Daphnia pulex: one gene and its partner. The protein of the gene in region 2 purifies or fractionates together with the protein of the main gene of each other region. This does not show direct contact. Links are inferred from orthologs where the notes say so. Each region holds a gene or a part of one and is shown on either strand. Other genes may lie near its edges. The genes, in order: ribosome biogenesis protein BOP1 homolog and ribosome biogenesis protein WDR12 homolog.

Evidence for each region.
Region 1: the proteins of ribosome biogenesis protein WDR12 homolog (region 2) and ribosome biogenesis protein BOP1 homolog purify together in Homo sapiens (affinity purification with western blotting; 6 studies listed by BioGRID and IntAct, with this or other methods). This does not show direct contact. The link is inferred for Daphnia pulex from reciprocal best matches to the Homo sapiens genes WDR12 and BOP1.

The regions. Positions count from the first base shown.
Region 1 is NC_060021.1:9,844,624-9,849,096, reverse strand, and holds ribosome biogenesis protein BOP1 homolog, read right to left. Parts: upstream 3,017-4,473; 5' UTR 2,932-3,016; coding exon 2,860-2,931; intron 2,777-2,859; coding exon 2,444-2,776; intron 2,387-2,443; coding exon 2,235-2,386; intron 2,172-2,234; coding exon 1,951-2,171; intron 1,884-1,950; coding exon 1,320-1,883; intron 1,260-1,319; coding exon 1,047-1,259; intron 985-1,046; coding exon 707-984; intron 647-706; coding exon 547-646; intron 485-546; coding exon 289-484; intron 221-288; coding exon 67-220; 3' UTR 20-66; downstream 1-19. Other genes in the region: protein charlatan-like, read right to left, coding at 3,306-3,561. UniProt on the Homo sapiens protein: Component of the PeBoW complex, which is required for maturation of 28S and 5.8S ribosomal RNAs and formation of the 60S ribosome.
Region 2 is NC_060024.1:1,155,170-1,159,439, reverse strand, and holds ribosome biogenesis protein WDR12 homolog, read left to right. Parts: upstream 1-1,151; 5' UTR 1,152-1,433; intron 1,434-1,507; 5' UTR 1,508-1,640; coding exon 1,641-1,714; intron 1,715-1,775; coding exon 1,776-1,861; intron 1,862-1,914; coding exon 1,915-2,128; intron 2,129-2,188; coding exon 2,189-2,329; intron 2,330-2,398; coding exon 2,399-2,574; intron 2,575-2,645; coding exon 2,646-2,731; intron 2,732-2,815; coding exon 2,816-3,062; intron 3,063-3,130; coding exon 3,131-3,263; intron 3,264-3,321; coding exon 3,322-3,451; 3' UTR 3,452-3,499; downstream 3,500-4,270.

The DNA of each region.
Region 1 (4,473 bases), on a different chromosome or scaffold from region 2:
GAAACAAATGTCAAACAAACATGTTTCAGTTGTGTAATAATCGTGTGCCACTTGGAGTTCAGTGCGTTACGTGTACAATCGAATCGTAGCATCTGCTCCACTGGTAAACAACCATGGTTGTGTAGGGTGGAAGAGAACATCGAAAACACCGAAATCATCAAATTTGGCATGCCCACGCAGTTTCTTCAACGGGACAATTGTTGGGTTCTTCAACAAATCGCTATAAATTTAGAAAAATAAAAGTAATGAGAAGTTCAACAAACAAATTAAGTAATCAAGATGTCTTACTTGTAGACCATTCCATGTGAAACAATGGCAGAGCAATCGTCCGATCCAGAAGCGAAGAGAGGGTATCGTTTGTGATAGGCCACTGCACGAATACCTTGACCATGATGACGCAGAGCTTGATAAGGTTTAGTTGATAAATCCAAGTCGAACCAGCAAAGACGACGATCGTGAGTTCCTACGAGGATGTTGTCTCCACCTGTTACAAGTAGATGGATGAAAATTAGACTGCAAATAGTTGTTGGGAAGTTTGAACTTTACCTGGATGAACTGCAATCGAAGAAATCCATTTGGCTCCTGTCATTAATTTTTTGGTAAGTTCTTGTTTCAAAAGATTGTATACTCGAACGTGACGTTGTGTCTGCCAAAAAATCTCAAATTAAGCTTCAGTTAACGTGAAATTTAACAAACAAAATATTACCGCAACAAATAGATAAGGTCTAAGGGGATGGAACAGAGTGCACTGCACAAGTCCCTTGGATTTGCTAAAAGGCAACTGTGATCTGCGTCGAGAAAGTTGATGGATCAGCACGGATCGATTGTCACCTTCCGGCATGACCGACGAGAAGTAGTCGCCCTTTGAATGCCAGGCTACGTGTTTCACTGCCTTGAAGTGAGTAAGAGTAACACGGAATCCACTATCCCATTGAGCCTTATCAGGCTCGTTCCACGTCAAAACAGCACGAACTCGTTGAGGAACTGAAAAAAGAAGTAGTACGACATTTAAAAATGAACTGGAGCAGAAATAAAAATGAGCTTACTAAGATAATCTGTTTGCGCAGGCATTTCCTTGAGAATCTCATCTGTTTTGGCTTGGACAAGTCGATCTCCTACACCAGGGTTGATTAAATAGACGTTATTATCAACCGCAGCAGCCACCAGAGCAATAGACGAGTTCGGGCACCAAGAAACGCAACGGACAGTTCCTTTAACTTCAAAAGTCTTGAAACAGCGGCCAGTTGCAATCTCCCATACTGTGAAATAAAAATTGAAAATGGATGAAATGTTACCAAAAAATCATTTTATCAACTTACCCTTAAGTGTTTGATCATCGGAACCAGAAATAAAGAACTGGCCTGAAGGATCGTGACTAATAGTACGAACAAGTCCTTTGTGGCCCTTGAAAATCATAGAGCAGACCGTTGGGAACGGTTGGAGATCCCTTGGCTTAGGCAATTGCGGTACAAGATCTTCCGGTTGGATTGTCAAACGCATCTTCTTGGCACGAGGGCACAAATAAAGATCCAAGCAACGAACGAATCGCTCGCGAGCGAATCTGTCATAAGCTGGCACTGCTCTCAGCGAGCTAAACCGTTGGGGAATAAATGGGAACTTGCGCTGGTACGGAGTTTCGGCTAAGCGATTCCATTGATTGATTTCCCTTTCAGAAAAGGCGTACTCTGGAGGGGGATTGTAGGACTCGGCATGCCCCGGAAGTCGAGGTTTCGGAGCAGGGATAGGATTTTCAATACGACGAACATCCTCCGACTTGTCATCGGCATTCCAAAGCAAATAATACTTGTGCCGTTCAACGGATGTGTCTTTAGCCACACGAGGTTTCATCCAACCCATCTTGATAGCGTGCACCATTCGACCAACTAGAAAGTGTAAAAAAGGATTAGTCTAACTTGGAAACACGTTGATAACAAATCCACTAGCAGTCACCTTTAATAGCTTCAACTCTTGAGGGAATAAAAGATCTTTTATGTTCAGGTCTACCAGTAACAGGTGTTTCCATGACTTCGTTAGTGAACCAATCAACCCATGGTTCATAAGGGTTATAGCTTCCATCAGGTATTCTACTACCCATGACATTTTTGATGAGATCCACATCCTCATTACTCAAGATAACATCCTGGCCTGTCTGTGGATCATAAACTGTCCGCCTGTTGCAATATCAAAATAATTTAGTCAACAATCAAAGGGACAGTGCTGTGAAAAGTGTTTACCATGACTCTGGATTCTCCATTTTCCTCAAGAAATTGTCAATTTCATCTCCTCGTTTGGGTTTGAGAATTGCTTTTCCTTCCAAATCATAACCAATATGAGGATAGTCATTATACCAGTTCATTGGAATGTTTCCCACAGTGTTTCTCAAATCCTGAAGATAAAATGTTGTTTCAGAAACCAATATAGCACATTTTTAAAACAAACATACTTCCTCATCAGAAGAATCATATGCATATTCATCCTCTACAGGAGGAGCTGGCAGTTGGGCAGTAGACGTAGAGGGTCCATCTTGTGCGATGGGTACAGCAGTGGGTACCACTTTATTCTCCGCTGTGTCATCCTCACTATCCTCGTTGGTACTCATATTGTGTACTTCATCTCCCTCTTCTTCATCCTCATCACTACCTTCTTCCCAATCAGAATTATCTTCTTCGTCATCACTATCATCTTCCTCGTCATCTTCTAAACCGGAGTATTCACTAGATTCCTCGTCGGTGCTGTCATCGGCATTGTCGGAAACTTGTGCCTCAATTATGTCGTCCTAGAAACATGTAAAATACATGTCAAATACACAGAAAAAGAGGTAATTCATTTCCTAATCCAATTTCGGTGATTTCTACTTACCACTTCAGCGGAATTTTCATTGTTTTCAACAATTTCGAGGCGACGTTTAGATGATTTCGAAGCAGTCGCCATCTTCACCTTACGCACGTGTGTACTAGAGAAAGCGTTGCCAGATTTATTTTTATCATCCCTCTCGCGTATAAAAATGCCAACTAATCAATCGATACCTAAGAATATTTTTTTCTTTATATCATATGTCTTTTACTCTTTATTTTCAGCAGCATAGATGTAAACAATCGAATGTGATTTTTTTTAAATCGGCAACACTTAAATTGGCAGGGGTAAACATTCGATAAAAATTATAACGGGAACATTATTAAACCATAACGACGACCTGTGTAAATGAACGGATTACTTGAAGGCTACTCAGGTTAATTGTGCAAAATTACAAATAAAACGGATGTAAAATTATATATTCTTTCCAATAGATTGTATTGGCGAGTCCATCAGTTTTGGCAGGTTTCCATTGTACCATTTGTTGAACGGTGATGGTTTTCGGCCAAGTGGGCATGAATTAGGTTGCCATCGGTGGTACGGAAATCGCACAGTTCACACTGAAGCAGAATTTGATTAGGACGATTTTCCATCCCCACGACATCCGGTCCCGTTTCATCCATTTGATCCATCAGTGGCTTCTGCTGATTTGCCTTTTTGCCCTTGGCGTTGACGATACTCCTCTCCGATTTGACTACGGGATTCTGACTAAAACAAACTCAACATCAAACGTCATTTCTATTTTTGGGGGTTTCATCATCGGGTAGGTAATAATGTGTTGTATAACCCGTATTTGAATCAATTCAGTTTAAATAAATGACCTACCTCAGGGTGCCAAATTCCTCCACCAAAATAATAGAAAATCACACTTGTTGTGTAACTTTTGTTTTTGGCAGGGTTAATAATTGAAAAGACGTAGACAAGGCAATGAAATCTTTTGGCAGTGAAGCCGAAACAATTCTTGTCAAGGGAAACCCAAGCGACACACATAAAAGGACATGTTGAAAAAACCCCAGAATGACAAAATCCCATCAACGAAAAGAAGGAAAATGAAGCTCTTTGGCGTGTCCCAACAAAAATATTGCGGGAAGATTTGAAAAGTGCGCGAAACAAAAAAGTCGACCAGGGATCATAAAGAAATCCAAAAACAATCAGATACGACGAATAATGAATCGAAAAAAAAAACGGGATTTGTATTCTGTTATCTGTGTGTGTGAAAACGATTTTTGTACATTTTAAAAAGTGAGGAGGGGTAGGCAAAAAAATCGGGAGGATATCAAAGATCTTTTTTTTAGTCAATCGAGAAAAATTTTCAACATTGAAAAACTTCTTTATTAATTGAATTTTTTTTACAACTGCATAAGAAAATGAGGGAGAAAAAAAAATGAGATTATTAACTTTTTTTTTAATCTGTTGTTTATCTATCAAAATGATGGTGATATTTTATTTGAAAGGGCTATAAAGCAATTTGTTTTTCTGCTCGGAGCTAATAACAATTTGGCTCGCACTACAAAGAATTGTTTTACTAATTCCGAGTGCTAGATATTATTCTTTTTTGTCTTTTGCAAATTAGTTTCTCTATCGTAACTTTCGTCAGAATAGTTCTATTAATCACACACA
Region 2 (4,270 bases):
TTGGCAAACGGAATGAAAACTGAAATTTTAAAAAGTGAGCTTTGATTATACAAACGACGATAACTGTCTAGGGTTGTGGAAAGTGAATTTGCCCATGTAAATCGGCAAGAAAAATAAAGAAATGTTTAACGATAGTATTGCATGCCCTCGTTATTTATTTTCATGACGGGGAGAGACTCTTAAATCAACTCCGATTTGGGAGTTGACTACCGGTCTATACCGCTATGGGGGTAATTCTTTTAGTTTACACCCCTCAGGAAAACTATGCTTACAGGAAACGCTTTTTCAATGACAGCTAACAAAAGTAGGCATGATTTTATGTATAATAGTCACCTTTTCCACCCGACCCCCTTCAACTTATCTGGTATCTACCTGTCACCCTCCGCTAGTGGTCGGTAGAGGCGCTGCTTTTCAACGGAAACCGCCGTTGCCGACAATTTTGCGGGCAGCGGTCGACAGAGGCGCTACCTAGTCGCGTCTATTGGAATCAAACGACAATCAAGATTTCGAGTGAGGGATGAGAGTCCAGCTCTCATTATTACAACCTGTTACAAACCGTTAGCTCTAAAGCCTAGCGATAAATGATTTAATAATCAAAATTTCAAAAAGGCATTAAATCTCTTGCATGACATATGGCGGAACTTCCCGTCGATTAATACATTAAAATAATAAGACAACTTCAACTTTACCCAATGAATGGGTGGAATTTTTTTATTCGTTTAACAACTGGCCATTACTTGATCGAGAATTTTTTTAGTGTTCAATTCCTTGACGCCTATTGAAATTAAACTAAAACAGTAAAACTTTACACTGGTTCGTCTACTGAAATTAGACTAAGCGTCAAAATTAAGTTTGGTGCTGACTGACAAGGAAGTTAATGAACGAAGGTATTGAACAGGTTGCCGCCCAACTATAAGTGCAGTTCGCGCAAATCGTTCCATGAGTTTGGCACATAGTGTAACATTTTTTTCTCTCTGTACAGAAAATTTAAATTAAAAACAAAAACAAAAAAAAAAAAAAAAAAAATCTTCTATAAAAATTTTGATAGAGGAAATGATCGATGTAATTCAATTCTGGAATTGGGCCAGTCAGTTGAAGATATGGTGCCACGTCTCATTGGCATTGCGTCGCAAACCACCAAAAGACGCTTTGGAGCCTGGCTTATTATAGTCTTTAGACTTCAGAGGCCTAGACCGTAGACTCCTGGTAGACTCGCGTAGACTCACTAAGACGGGAACAATTTTTAGATTTTTTGCGTGTCTTTGTGTCGCTGCATGATTTAGCTTTAAAATATTGATAGAATACGAGTTATTTTATTTCTAGCCCCCTTCACAGTTCACACGTCATTTGAGTCAGATGTCGGATAAATGCAACAATTGCATGTTTATTATTCAAAAACTAGATGGCAGTCAAAAGCTTTACTTGGAGGAAGGGTAGGCGAAAAGGCTTCACTTTTTAAATTCCTATCGTTTCGGCTTTGTAAAAATATAGCAGGCTTTGATTACAGACGACTGAAAGTGCAAGAACACGTGGAGTCGCGGACCGAACATCAAAAGTGGTCTCATCCAAACCACACAATTATCGAGTGTTAAACTGTTAACAAACCTTTATTAAAAAGTAAACGTCATAAATTTCTTGCAATGGCGGCTTTAAAAAGAAGCTTGTTAAATGACGAAGGCCAGATTCAAGTGAGATTTGTAACGAAACAGGAGAAGTAAGTCTTTCTACCGAGTCCATTTGTTGCTCAAAATATTCATTCTTTTTTCTGATGACAGATATGCTCTCCCAGAAGCTCCATTTTCAATCCCTTCTGGAATAAAAGCAGACTCACTAAGTGTTTTAGTCAACAATTTGCTAAGAGGTAAATGATTTAAAATTTTCAAAATCATTAATACTAATAATTTTGTTTTTTAGAAACACACGAATCAGGATGGGATGAGGTAGATTTTGATTTTCTAGTATGCGGAGAATTTGTAAGGCTTCCACTTATTGAACATCTAAAACTGAAAGACATTAATACTGAAGTCACAGTTGAAGTAGAATACCTTGAAAGATTCCCTGCTCCAGAACCTGAAGATAGTTTGAATCATGATGACTGGGTATCTGCTTCCCACTGTTTTAAAGACTGGTATTACACTCATATCTTTAGTTGTCTTAAAATGTGTATGTACAATGCTAGTTATTTCAGGATCCTGACAGGGTGTTATGATAATACCTTGCATATATGGAAGACTGATGGTACTCATAAGTCAACTATTCCAGGGCACTGTGGCCCCATCAAAGGAGTACGATGGATTGAAGTGACTGGCTCAACTGCTACTTTTGCAAGGTATTTTTAGTTTCTTTGAATTAGTGATAATCAGCTTTAAAAAAAAAAAATTATTGTTTTTTTTTTTAGTGTTTCTCATGATCAGACAGTTATGCTGTGGAAAATGAACCTTGAAACTTATGCAATTGAATGTGTGCATATTGGAAGAGGACATGAGCGCTCCATTGAATGTGTAGATGTTGATAAGAATTCATCCTTCCTTGCTACTGGTGGTTGGGATAATATGCTTAAAATTTGGTCTGCCAGTAAGTGTAACATATTCTAATTAATGTATTCAGGTGTCTGTTTAAATTTAATGAATTCTTCTTTTTTTAAGCATCTGATTCAAATTCAACAAACGAAATTGATGATGGTGAAAAGGAAAAAGGATGCTCTACTGGTTCTGGAAAATCACTCAGACGTGTAAGTGTTTTGTATGAAGTGTCGCAACATTTTATACCTTCAGTCAAGCTAGAACAGACTAATTTCAATCATTATTTAATACAGACACCATTGATGACTTTGCCTGGCCACAAGGAAGCTATATCTTCTGTTGTTTGGACTGAAAACAATGAAATCTTTAGTTCTTCCTGGGATCACACCATCAAATTGTGGGATGCTGAATTAGGAGGATTAAAATCCGAAATTGTTGGGAACAAATCCTTCTTCTGCATTTCTCGTTCTCCATTAAACCAAACTCTTATCACTGCTTCAGCTGATCGTCATATACGTTTGTATGATGCCCGATCTCAAGGTACATCTGTTGCGCTTTATACCATTTTAATAGGCTCATTAATGATTTCCAATTTTTTTTTTTGACAGAGGGGTCAATTGTGAAAGCCACATTCACTTCACACGTTGGATGGGTATCAACGGTTTGTTGGTCTACGACACATGAAAGATTATTCGTATCCGGTGGCCATGATAACATTTTAAAGTTGTGGGATAGTAGGAGGCAAGTATTTGATAATTAATTGCGTGTTAATTCAATGAGAAATAATTTTTCTTTTCAGTCCCAAGGCTCCGTTATACGACATGACGGGACATGAAGGCAAGATCCTGTGCGCTGACTGGTCAAATCCTTCGATAATAATAAGTGGTGCAACGGATAATACGTTAAAGATCTTTAAATCTGAAGTATAAATTAAAATTGCCACCAAGTTGAGATAAACAAATTTTTGGAAACTGGAATGAATTAGTCTATTTTGGCCGTTAGTTAACTTTAAAACGAAGTATAGACATGGTGTATAGAGTAGTCAGTAGTCCAGTGACGCGTACCGCCGACAAGGCAACGTCGTACTAGCTATAATATAGCCTCGAGTAATATTTTTTTCTTCTGTATTTTTCGAATGGACTAAGTCTAGTTTTAATCCTATACATTTTTTCCTACCCATTTTTTTAAGTGATACAAAATTAATTGGATTGCATATTAACCAGTCACAGCGCTTGATACATTCTGCTTCAGCTGGATAGGTGTGCACTTCCAAGTTTCAACGACGCAATCTACTAGCTGCAAGGGGGCAAGCTTAACAACGCGGTCTGGAGAATTGTGTAGTCATAGTTTTAGGTATTAGTTTTACCAGCAGAATTCGTATTCTCAGAGTCATGAGTCGTATGTTCGAGATTTCCAGCAAAAGGTATCAGCTAACCAAGTATTTTATCGATGAGTTCAACAGGAGCTTAAAAGCGGGAACATGGTGTTCAAGCTGACAAGTATCCAAGTATAGGGAGTAAGGGTGACGGAAGAAATAAAAAAGAAATGAACGAGTAAGACACATCCAGCTGCATGAATTCCACGAGTTTCACAATATTCCAACTGAAAATCAGGATTTAGATACGCTTCAAGGTAATAATGATTGTCATGTTAAGTATTGCCGTTTATTTTACCAATCATCGTGTTCAGATACAAATTGGAATGCCTTATTTAGTGCAGTTCCGTTGAGACCAGCACTCGCCGATTGC